3 linked regions of the Arabidopsis thaliana genome follow. The main gene of each other region encodes a partner of the protein of the gene in region 3 in a complex. Each region holds a gene or a part of one and is shown on either strand. Other genes may lie near its edges. The genes, in order: LSM3A, LSM1B and LSM2.

Region 1 (3,708 bases), 6.6 Mb from region 3:
TGATCTCCTTGTAAGAACATTTTTCATTAACCACCACTTAATATTTACCATCTTCAATACTTAAAACCGCTAGCACATTCAGTTAAAAGCGGGTTTGCTTTGTTACTGTTGCTGCTTTAGGCTCTTGCACAGCAATGTACAAGCGGAATGCTTCAACTGGAGCTAGAGAAGACCCGTTTGAACAGTGCATGTTTCATTGAGACCATTCCGTTGGATCCAGTGCCACCAGTAGCCAAAGCTGCCTACTCCAGAACATCAACTGATTCTCCAAGCAGAAACTATAGAGAGTCACAACCAATGGGTTCTCCGGTTCAAGCCAGACCCAGACGAAGATAAGACTTCTCTTCTCCATTGTTACTATGCTCGAAGCGTGTTGGTGATCATGACAAGTTATATCTTACGATAGATACCTCAAAACTTTTAATTTCATCACTAATCTTTTTTTTACTGTAAATTTACATGCTTACAATTACATTAATCTTTTCTCATGAAATCAATCTTGTTTGCGTTTTCAGCCTCCTGTACTGTGAATCAATTTGATGGTTTGGTTAATCAAAATGTCTTTCCTAGGGTTACACACATCTAAATATGTCACCAATCACTATTCATAATAGAGCTCGAAATCAATGAGTTTGAGGAAGTATACAAATCTTTAGAGAAAACTACACCAAACCAGAAAACGAAACTAAATCCGATCGTAAACGGTAAGAAAGTCACAATACGAAGTATGTTACACTGATTCTACTATAACGAGGCACCCATTACCAAGATTCGAATGCTACATTCGGTTTCAATGTTTGACAACAAAGAAAAACATACCACACAATTACAAATTCAAAAGCCAAGTAATCAGAAAAAAGTGCTTTTACTCAGCGCCAGATTTGTTAACTCCGATCCCAGTACACAAGAACATTTAGGTCGTCCTCAAAGGCGGTGACACCAATATCACTCCATCTCCTCTCACGAATAGAAACGGTACCGTTCGCTTCGTTGTCTGACAGAAGCAAGTTACATCAGCAGGAGAAGAACATATGATTCTACACTAGTCTAATGAGAAGTTAGCACATCACATTTGGAGCGCAAACAACAAAATTCAAGTTTGAGAAACTAAACAGAGTTACTATATTGGTAATGAACACTCTCTATGTAACCAGCACTATTAACTTCTACATGAATCAAGCTCTCCTTTAAACTCAAACAGAGACATAGACAATAGATACTGTGATAGCTGAAATATTTTGAACCCAAAAACGTTTATCTTACTACTAAAGCCTACATAGATTAATAAATCTTATTGAGCTAAGAGAATTACATACCCGAACAATCTCTTCATATGTCTCGTCGTCGATTTCTATAGTCGTAATAACCTCTTCAACATCACCCAGAATCATATTCAAATGCTGATCAAAAGCCTACACCACAAAAACAACAACAAAAGTGAGAGTCTTAGAATTTAACAAGATTATGAGGTTTTCTACGCCAATTAGCTCTCGCTGAGGCTTTCGAAACTGAAACTCAACAAAATGGGTCCAAATTTTGATATTTGTGAAAAGAATAAAAACTAGTGTTAAATTCAACGAATAAGGAATTCAAAAAGGAGCTCAAAATCGAAAAAGATCACATCTGGTTACTGGTTTCTGGAATCCGAGTGGTTAAGAACGTACGTGAAGCTTGCCGCGGAGTTCACGGTCAGATCGGAGCTTGACATAGATCCTCTCTTCGATACTCAACCGAATCAGATCGAGTGGCTCTCTAACGGTGGCGTCTTCCTCGACTGACATTTTCTGATTATAACTTCTCCGAGGGTTTTGAAATTGTAGTGCTCTCGGCGATATCTCTCTGACTGAGCTCAAGCAATCGCCACCGTTGGTTCCCTAAAAACTTCAAACCAACATCTTACGATTCGGCCTTTTACTATGTTTTTGGGCTCTCATATCGGCCCAATATGGTTAGCTCTTTTTTTTTTTTTCGTCGAAGTATTATGAAGATAATAAATCATCTAATGCAAATAAATCATGGTTAGTGGAACTTAACTATATTAAGTCCAATCACAAGGTATCAATTGGTCATTTCATTACACTAAATTTACTATAATCTTTATATTGGTTGTTTTAATCAAAAAGCCTTTTGTCATATACAGAGAGAGAAGAGAAACCTGAGGAAGCTGACCGGAGAAGACGAAAGCAAACTTTTTTCTGTGAGTTTTACTTCCTTTGACTCATCTCTCATATATTTACCGCTTTATTTTCTTCATCCCGATTCCTCTCTGCTTCATTCTCTCCTAAAGTTTCGATCTTTAATATTCCCCTAAGATCCAGTACTAATTTTGTTGACAAAGGTTTTGACTTTTTGAGATCTGTTTTCTCTTCGATTTCTCTGATGAATTAGGAAGAAATTTGATCCAAAAATGGATGGGAATTTTCCACAAGGAGGTGTAGTTCGTAGTGGAGCTTCATCTTATGGAGGATTTGATTTACAAGGTTCTATGAGAGTTCATCACCAAGACTCCATGAATCAGCAGCATCGACACAATCCTAATTCTAGACCACTTCATGAAGGTCTTCCCTTTACTATGGTTACAGGTCAAACCTGTGATCATCATCAGAATCAGAACATGTCTATGTCTGAGCAACAGAAAGCTGAAAGAGAGAAGAATTCAGTGAGTGATGATGATGAACCAAGTTTCACAGAGGAAGGTGGTGATGGTGTTCATAATGAAGCTAATAGATCAACTAAAGGATCTCCATGGCAACGAGTGAAATGGACTGATAAGATGGTGAAGTTGTTGATTACTGCTGTTTCTTATATAGGAGATGATTCGAGTATAGATAGTAGTAGTAGAAGAAAGTTTGCTGTTTTGCAGAAGAAAGGGAAGTGGAAATCTGTTTCTAAAGTTATGGCTGAGAGAGGTTATCATGTTTCGCCGCAGCAATGTGAGGATAAGTTCAATGATTTGAATAAACGGTATAAGAAGCTTAATGATATGCTTGGTAGAGGAACATCTTGTCAAGTTGTTGAGAATCCTGCGCTTTTGGATTCGATTGGTTACTTGAATGATAAAGAGAAGGATGATGTTAGGAAGATTATGAGTTCTAAACATCTTTTTTATGAAGAGATGTGTTCGTATCATAATGGGAATAGGTTGCATTTGCCTCATGACCTTGCTTTGCAGCGTTCGTTACAGTTGGCGCTTAGAAGCAGAGATGATCATGATAATGATGATTCTAGGAAACATCAAATGGAGGATCTTGATGATGAGGATCATGATGGTGATGGTGATGAACATGATGAGTATGAGGAGCAACATTATGCGTATGGAGATTGTAGGGTAAATCATTATGGAGGTGGTGGTGGTCCTTTGAAGAAGATAAGACCAAGCCTTAGCCATGAAGATGGAGATCATCCGAGTCATGTGAATTCTCTGGAGTGTAATAAAGTCTCTTTACCTCAAATACCGTTTTCTCAAGCTGATGTGAATCAAGGTGGGGCGGAGAGTGGAAGAGCAGGTTCGGTGCAGAAGCAGTGGATGGAGTCGCGGACTCTCCAGCTAGAAGAGCAGAAGCTTCAGATCCAAGTTGAATTGCTGGAATTGGAGAAACAGAGATTCAGGTGGCAGAGGTTTAGCAAGAAAAGGGATCAAGAACTCGAGAGAATGAGAATGGAGAATGAAAGGATGAAACTTGAGAATGATCGGATGGGATTGGAGTT
Region 2 (4,380 bases), on a different chromosome or scaffold from region 3:
AGGTTCACAGGACTCAGTCCACATGGTCGGTTCCAGATGCTCAGCTTAGAGAAGAACTCCGAATATCGCTATCCGAGCATCTAATCCCTGCTTATAGATCGTTTCTTGGAAGGTTCAGGGGTCATATAGAGAGTGGAAGACACCCTGAGAACTATTTGAAATATTCGGTTGAAGATATCGAGACCATCGTTCTAGATTTCTTCGAAGGATATACCACACCACCACACTTGAGGAGGCGATAAAAGAAGATCGAAAACCCGAGAGTTCTATCTTCTTTCTTTCGTTTTTCAGTCACATTAGGATGTCATAGAAATAGAACCATTCTTTGAATTTTTATTCACGGGTTTCCTGCCCGGTGGAATAATCTCCAGGTGAACATATTTGTGTGTTGTTGTTTGTGCCATATGTCTTCTATTTATAAAAGTCCTGATTGATCACAGAACCAATAAGTACCATGTAAATTTTGCAATGTGCGACGTCCTCTACTCATTTGCTCCATTTTTGTTCCGTTTGGTAGTAGCCATAGGCAAGCTCCTTGTTTAAAAGTTCCAAAATAGAGAAAGAAATTGCTTAACATTTTTTTCTTAAAAAGGTAAATAGATCCAAAGACAAAAGTACACAGATTTATTGTCATATTCATCCAAAATGAAACACAAGAATTGCGTCGATCCCCTAAGTCAACACACCAAAAAGGCTCATCATAAAACTTGCGAGCCAAAGCAGAGCATCAAGCCAATAATGAATGGGGATACAATCTGGTTTAATCAAAGTCAAGAAACTCCATTCTCTTCCTCATTGTTCCTCTCAGCTCACTCGCTTCCCTCTCCACCTTTTGTGCCTGCATCAACAGACAGATTCCCGAAAACCAAATCATCAGCACGCACACAGCATCACAAATGAATCAAATTTGGCTAATCAAAATGAACATGTTATGCGATGTCTTACCCTTTTAATCTCTGCCTCTGAGACGCGAATCATATGTGGAGGAAGCTCTTCTCTCTCCGTGTCCTAATACATAGTTTAAGGTCAAACTCAGTGAATTGGAAAACACGAGGTGACACAGCAAGAAAAGACAAACAAGGAGAAGTCTTACCAGCTCACCAATCAAAACAACATTCTCTCCACGGATTACATAGAGGCCTAAAGGAATGTCACAGTATTGTTCACCAACAATTACCCTCTCACACGCACCTTCTAGAACCGCATTGGCTGTGTATTTACAACGAACAAAAAAAAGTCAAATCTCTCCCGCTCATCAACAATATCGTAAATCTAGAAACATGGAAAGAAAAGTGAATACCGAATTGATCAAAGGAACGGAGTGTTCCCATTAGCTTTCTACCATCTCTAAGAAGCACAAGTAGTTTTCCTGCATCATCAAGAGCAGAGCCAACATACATAAGTAACTGATGCACATTGATTCATATCTAAAAAAGAAAACGGTACGCCAAATGAGATTGAGAACTAACTCATAGCCCAAAAACATCAGCAAAAGAAGATCATTGACTTTTAAACTCAAAGAACCAACATCAAAAAGCCGATAGTGAATTAAATTTCAACAAAGGTTAAAGTTTATACTTCGTAAGTTGAATAAAGAGTGAGCCAGCAACCTCAATCACATCTAATCTCTCACGCATGCTAAAATTTAGCTTGACAACAATAACTGATGAACAGTTAGATTTGACCCAATTAAAAAAAAACTAAAGCTTTGATTCAATAATCAATATCTTAATCAATGAATGTCTCTTTGAGACAATTCAACACCAAAATTGACAAGCTTTGGATACAGCCACAAAATAGTACAGCCTATATATCAATAAGAAGTCAAAATCAAACGTCAAAAAAACAGAGAATTGTTTGCAAAATTGAGCTCCCAAATGCGTACAGAGCCATCACGGCCAATTATTTTAACTACATGCATTCATACGGTTCAACAAATATGTGAAACAGAGAGAAAGAGAGACGGATTTACTATCGAGATAACTAGCGAGTGATGTTGAAAGATAAATTTCTTCAGGACCAGCCCACGACATCGCCACTGACTTTGAAATTGAAGAAAACTTTCGGTCTTTCTATAGAACACTACCGATGATAATAATGTTCGTCAGATTCCAGCTGAAGAGATAAGATTTGGCTATTGAACGCGAACTTTGACAGGAAAAAAAAAAAGTGAAGACGGAAAGAGAAATCTAAATTAGGGTTTTGACCAAAGGGTTTAAATTGATAAAGTGATTAAAAAAGATTGAGACTTTCGACACCTGATCGAAGACGGACACGGGTTCTTCAAAAAAATATAAAACCCAGATCCGATCGAACTTTGGCTGAGAAAATTTGTTTGTGGAAAATTCGAAGAGAAAACTAGCGAGCAAATCCGTCCACTGTCCCTTTTTTATTATTTTCAAGCAATGTCCACGATTTCTTAACTCGATAGATAAGACGTTGTACTTTAATACTTTAAGCACTTTCCAATTTAATGTTAAATTTCCTAATAATTATTGTGACTGAATGTTTCTTAAATAAATGAGACTAATCTTCCAAGCTAATAAAATATCTGTTTCGAATAAATTTTAATTTATGGACCAAAAAAGTCGATTTAACACTATTATTATTTACTGCTTGATTTATGTTAAAACGCTTTTATGGGTAAGTCATCCAATAATATATTCCCACGTAAGCATCAGATCTCGGCGGCGCGAAACTACGCGGCGTTCGCTTAGCACAAAAACGTAGCGCAGTTTATTTAAAGCAAAACAAAAAATTCTGTTTTCACACTTTTGCATTGCAGCATCTTGTAGCTAACAACATCATCGGAGAGAAAGCAGCTTCCCCTTCCCGGAGATATCGTACATAAGCTAAAGCAACCTTAACCTTCCTTCTCCACTGTAAAACCCTCAAATTAAGGTCACGATTTCGTCTTATTTTTCCAGGTTTGATTCACAAAGAACTTCGTGTTTTAACGATGCTATTCTTGGGGTAGGATTTAGGGTTTTGTTTCTATAGTTCACCGATCCTGTTCAATTTTAAGCTAAATCACATTCAATTTTATGATTTGCATCGGTTAAAAGACGCGATAGTTATCAGGAGTAGGGTTTGTTGTGGTATTCGAGAAGTTTCAGGAAAGTGAGAGTTTTCTATTAATGGCTTCTTTTTTTTGTATCCCGAATTCTTTGGGGTTAATTGGTGAAAAGAATGTTCTTTGTACGAAATTATATCCAATTTTCCAGCTTTACATGTTTTTGGAGATTTCTGGAATAAGTCTGAGATACTTAAGAACGCATCTGGAGATTGAAATTGTGGCATCCAATGTAGTTTCAATCGATTTTGTCTTTAAATTTTGTATTCTTATTAGATTGAGTTTCGTCTTGGATTGAGCGAATTTGTTTCATTGATGATTTTAGGGATAGATTGATCATGGCAACTGCAACTATGGCAACAGCAGCTGGAGCAGCTGCTCTTTTATATTACACGTTGAATCGGAAATTAATAGCTGGTCCATCTGACGTTGACGATGAGAATTCTGAAGCTTCTGCTTCTCGTCCTTCTTTGAGGATTGACCGTGTTTCGCATAGGCTTATTCAAGCTCCGGCAACTTGGTTGGAGACTATTTCTACTCTTTCTGAGACTCTTCGTTTTACTTACTCTGAGACTCTTGGGAAGTGGCCTATTGGTGATCTTGCGTTTGGGATCAATTTTCTCATCAAGAGGCAGGTATAACATCTCTTCATCGTTTTAACGGTCTTAAGTTCTGGATTTTTTTCTAATTATCTTGTGGTCAAAATTGAACTTTTTGTAATTGTGTACCTAAAACCGTAGGGACTTCTACATGTTGATCGTGTCTTTGGTGGTAAAGATAGTGTAGAACTTAGAGGATCAGAAGTAGCCACTGAACTCAAATATCTTTTGCACTTGTTGACATTGTGTTGGCATTTTTCCAAGAAGTCGTTTCCGTTTTTCTTAGAAGAGACCGGCTTTACAAAGGAAAATGTCCTTATTCATGAACCCAAAGCTGGGGTAAACTTTAACAACTCTCAACTCTTAGGCACTTTTTCAACATAGAAATTGAGAAGTTTAGTTTTGAATTTTGCACCATGTAGATATTGAAGCCAGCTTTTACGGTTCTTGTCGATCACAATACAAAATATTTTCTGTTATTGATTCGTGGAACGCATAGCATCAAAGATACCTTGACTGCTGCAACTGGAGCAATCGTACCGTTCCATCATACTGTTGTAAATGAAAGAGGGGTCAGCAATTTGGTCTTAGGTTATGCTCATTGTGGTATGGTTGCTGCTGCCCGGTGTATAGCTAAACTTGCCACCCCTTGTCTTCTCAAGGGTCTTGAGCAATATCCAGATTACAAAATCAAGGTACTTTTGTAGC
Region 3 (3,788 bases):
GGCAGCTCTGAAGTAAACTTCTTTGATTCTTCTTTCCACTTTATTTGAGACTTCTTCTTCGTTGATTGTTTTCCTATTGAAATTAACAAGGGCTTCCCTGAGTCTACTCACAGACCACGAGAGCAATACCAAACTCAAACTCATTGCACCCTCGAAGAATTGGTTTGCGCAAAAGGGTACCTGCCTGGAAGCAACATTACAAACGAGAAAGAAGAGCACAGCCATACCAGTGCCAGCAAAGCCAATTGAACACTGAGTCAAAAGCTCGAAGAGTTCTCCACGTGATTTCTTTAGAGATAGCATTGTGGTTTTTCTATGTTGTTCATTGCCTATCATCAGAGAGAGAAGGCTCTCACACGCATGAAGACGGTTTCGTTCGTAGAGGTCATATTCCTTATCTCTTATCTTCGGATTTTGTTTCTTTGGTGAAGGCTTGAGCCTGGTTTTCTTCGGACTGTTGGAAATCGAAAGAAACGTTTTTTAAAGATGCAAAAGTACCAAAAACTAGTTGATGATATTAGATACCTCTTTGGAGGAGCTAGTGTAACTGCGTCCTCGGGTAGCTGCAGAGTGTCTATTGGTACTTCACTGTCGAATCTGCAGAATGAGAGGAGAGCAAAAACTTAATGTTAAACCCAAAAGGATGAGACTCATAGGTATGAATCAAACTTGCAGTGAAGAATTAACTACCGCTGAAACTGCGGGACAAGCCGTGAGAGCTTTCTCCATCTTGTTGAGTTCCTTAATCTATGAAACTCAGCTGCCGTAGAGACCAAATCATTCAATTCAGCTCTGCTACTTGAGAACAGAATGTTAGCATCCACCATGAGATCCAATAACGGCTTTGCATATGGTTGCTGAGAACTTGATCTTAAAGCATCTAGACCCATCAATTCAGATAGGAGAGACAAATCGAATCCTTCTTCTTTGAGTTCTTCTTCTGATCTAGACAAAAGGAACTCTAACACCTCCTCTTTTCTTGCATACTGCTGAGTGATCCCCAAGCTTAAACACACAGGGTCTGGTCCAGTTTCTGTTAACCACAGTTCATGTCAGTCGAAAAAAGGGATTACAATTTGGTGAATTCAACTGAAATTTGATCAAAGTCACATACCATGAACATCCATGAGTCTATGCTTCATCATGGTTGAATCAAACTCCAAAAAGTGGTTAGACTTACTAAAAGAAGAAAAAGGTTTCAATGGCTCCAAGAGTTGTGATTTCAGGTTAAAGGAGCTCTCCGGTAATATCTCATATTTTCTTCCTCCAGGATTCACCAGATAAGCCCGGCTTGTCTGAATCATTCATAGACATAAGAACCAAACAAGGAGAAGACAGAACCAGGACAAGAATTCAACGAGAGATTCTAAACCCAAGTGTTTTAAAACAGAGAAAGTAAAAAACTGACCTTGATGATCTCGTTGCTTCTTAGCTCTTGAAGGAGACTAAACCTAAGTGTTGAATAGCTATGAGAAGCCATTGAGAAAAAACTGACTTCTTATTTTTTTTTCTCTTCTTCGTCACAAAACCATGGAAACAAAACGAAAAAGCTTATCGTCAGCAATCTCGCCTATATATGCGTCAGATATTATAAGATTTGTGTAAATCTTTTCTTTATTCAGTTTTGGCTGGTGACCAAAACACACTTTGAGTTTTTAAATATTTACCCTTTGAGGCACTTATTACTTAAATTACCAAGAACATACCCAATCTTTTCAATAATTACATAAATATACCTTTGGTTTCTTATATTCTCGAAATTAACCCAAAGATCATTAGGGTACATACATTCTTTACTCGAGAGAGAGAAGTTCTAAAGTCCTCAAATCCCGCAAAGCTTTTTCAGCTTCTTTGTTGAATTGCGAGCAGAGGTAGAAATCAGCAGGAAACAAAAATGGTAAATTTGAATGCTTTCTTCATCTTCATGAACTTGATTGTTGGCAGTTGTTTTGTTTGACCTAGAAAAGGTTTCTTCTTTCTTCGTAATTATTCATGGGTTTACTCTTTTTTAGCCAATGGTTCTAGGGTTCTTGGAGATTTCGAGTTTATGGTTTTCGATGATGATTTAGGGTTTCTCGTGATGGGTTTTGATTGTGTTTGTTCTCTGGTGCAGTTGTTCTTTTCTTACTTCAAGGATTTGGTTGGACAAGAAGTGACGGTTGAGCTGAAGAATGATTTAGCCATAAGAGGAACTCTTCACTCAGTTGATCAGTATCTGAATATCAAGCTCGAGAACACTAGGGTTGTTGACCAGGACAAGTACCCTCACATGGTAAATTTTCTTTCTTTTAAGCGATTTCTCTAAGAATTGGGAATTTAGGGTTTATTGGAGCAGCCTATTGTTTTTTTTTTGTTCACATAGGCAATATTTTCTTTGTTGTGTGTGCTTGAAGTGCTCTTAAGTGTTTGACATTATACTGGAATTGATCTCACTCGCTAGTTTCTTGCTATACTTCTTTGTCTCGTATTGTAAAATATCACTTATGAACTGATTGAAAGCTTAATCCTTGGCTCTTGCAAATGTGTTTAAGCCTTCACTCTTTTCTTTTTCCTTGCTTTCATTTACTGTGACCAAGCTTGAGAAGCTCTAACGTGATATTGATTAGATTTACAGACGCAAAGGGATGATTTGAAGTGATTAGTGGTTCTGGTTCACATATTTGATTGAGATTGCTGCTTTTGTACTGCAATTTGTCAAGTCTACTCAGGATTACAAAAGATTTGCAATATGTTTGCATGACCAATTTCAATGCATTTAGGTTTTATGGCGTTTATATTGTTATATCTTTGGCACTGTATTTCTTTATCTTGTCAGTGTCACACTTTAGAAACCTTGTCAAATAGTACAATTTCGCTAGAATCCTCCCGAAGATGTTTTTAGCTGACGGATTTGTGTGTTTGTTCTGTGTAGCTTTCAGTGAGAAACTGTTTCATCAGAGGATCTGTGGTAAGGTACGTGCAGTTACCTAAAGATGGAGTCGATGTTGATTTGCTTCACGACGCAGCTAGAAGAGAAGCTAGGGGTGGCTGATTCTGAAATATCTTTGTATCTCCAAAACTTGAATACTTTTCATTCGGCGTAATGGCTTTATAATGAATATTTCCCTGATGTAGAGCCAATGGTATGGCCATGAATCTTGTTCCATTTTATTAACAATGGATAATTTAATTTCTTTTCCTCGTTCAAATGAAAAGCTTATTAAAGCCTACTTAGAAACACCTTCACTCTTGTCAGGCTGTCACTACTTAAGTTTTTCCCTTTCTTAGATGAAGCAAGCAGAGGAAAAACATATAGACTCAGTAAGAAGGAACTTATATAAAGTAATATGAGTTCTTGTTTGCATAGCAGCAATAGGACCTTAACTCTTGTCATTAATTTAGTTTCTTATTTCTGAGATGAAGCAAACAGAGGAAAAACATAGACTCATGAATAAAAATAGGAGTAATTTTCTGCATAGGTAGTGTAACGCTTCATAGGATTTGCATCCATGTACGGTCTGGTTTGCCAATAGGGGAAAGGACCAGCTGCAGCCATATACGGATATGCTGCAGCCATAGGCGGATATTGTGAAATGTGAACACCATCGAACATTCTGGGTCGAGGCATGGATTGGTATGGATCAATTGGACCACCACAAGGTCCACAACCACCATATGGTCCATGCATTGCCCCCATCGAAAACGGGGGATAATGGCTTCTCGAGGCTGCGGATATGGGCCACCGGTGTAAAGGATTGTGTCCACCATGGTACATCATCGGTTGAGCGGTGTAACAAGGCGGCGGCGGG

The links.
Region 1: LSM2 (region 3) and LSM3A share a complex: the UniProt entries of both Arabidopsis thaliana proteins name them as parts of the heptameric LSM1-LSM7 complex.
Region 2: LSM2 (region 3) and LSM1B share a complex: the UniProt entries of both Arabidopsis thaliana proteins name them as parts of the heptameric LSM1-LSM7 complex.

The regions. Positions count from the first base shown.
Region 1 is NC_003070.9:7,419,076-7,422,783, forward strand, and holds LSM3A (Small nuclear ribonucleoprotein family protein), read right to left. Parts: upstream 1,883-3,708; 5' UTR 1,782-1,882; coding exon 1,665-1,781; intron 1,413-1,664; coding exon 1,317-1,412; intron 995-1,316; coding exon 914-994; 3' UTR 589-913; downstream 1-588. Other genes in the region: SEC5B (Exocyst complex component SEC5), read left to right, coding at 1-10, 121-336; AT1G21200 (sequence-specific DNA binding transcription factor), read left to right, coding at 2,408-3,708. UniProt on the Arabidopsis thaliana protein: Component of LSM protein complexes, which are involved in RNA processing. Component of the cytoplasmic LSM1-LSM7 complex which is involved in mRNA degradation by promoting decapping and leading to accurate 5'-3' mRNA decay.
Region 2 is NC_003074.8:4,665,370-4,669,749, reverse strand, and holds LSM1B (Small nuclear ribonucleoprotein family protein), read right to left. Parts: upstream 2,443-4,380; 5' UTR 2,259-2,442; exon of another isoform or gene 2,149-2,258; 5' UTR 2,034-2,148; coding exon 1,973-2,033; intron 1,421-1,972; exon of another isoform or gene 1,401-1,420; coding exon of another isoform or gene 1,370-1,400; coding exon 1,301-1,369; intron 1,210-1,300; coding exon 1,094-1,209; intron 1,009-1,093; coding exon 946-1,008; intron 839-945; coding exon 761-838; 3' UTR 556-760; downstream 1-555. Other genes in the region: EXO70D3 (exocyst subunit exo70 family protein D3), read left to right, coding at 1-242; AT3G14075 (Mono-/di-acylglycerol lipase, N-terminal;Lipase, class 3), read left to right, coding at 3,412-3,708, 3,814-4,011, 4,095-4,367. UniProt on the Arabidopsis thaliana protein: Component of the cytoplasmic LSM1-LSM7 complex which is involved in mRNA degradation by promoting decapping and leading to accurate 5'-3' mRNA decay.
Region 3 is NC_003070.9:817,404-821,191, reverse strand, and holds LSM2 (Small nuclear ribonucleoprotein family protein), read left to right. Parts: upstream 1-1,628; 5' UTR 1,629-1,894; coding exon 1,895-1,897; intron 1,898-2,113; coding exon 2,114-2,272; intron 2,273-2,911; coding exon 2,912-3,031; 3' UTR 3,032-3,258; downstream 3,259-3,788. Other genes in the region: AT1G03340 (uncharacterized protein), read right to left, coding at 1-454, 526-597, 691-1,033, 1,115-1,295, 1,409-1,480; AT1G03320 (uncharacterized protein), read right to left, coding at 3,425-3,788. UniProt on the Arabidopsis thaliana protein: Component of LSM protein complexes, which are involved in RNA processing. Component of the cytoplasmic LSM1-LSM7 complex which is involved in mRNA degradation by promoting decapping and leading to accurate 5'-3' mRNA decay.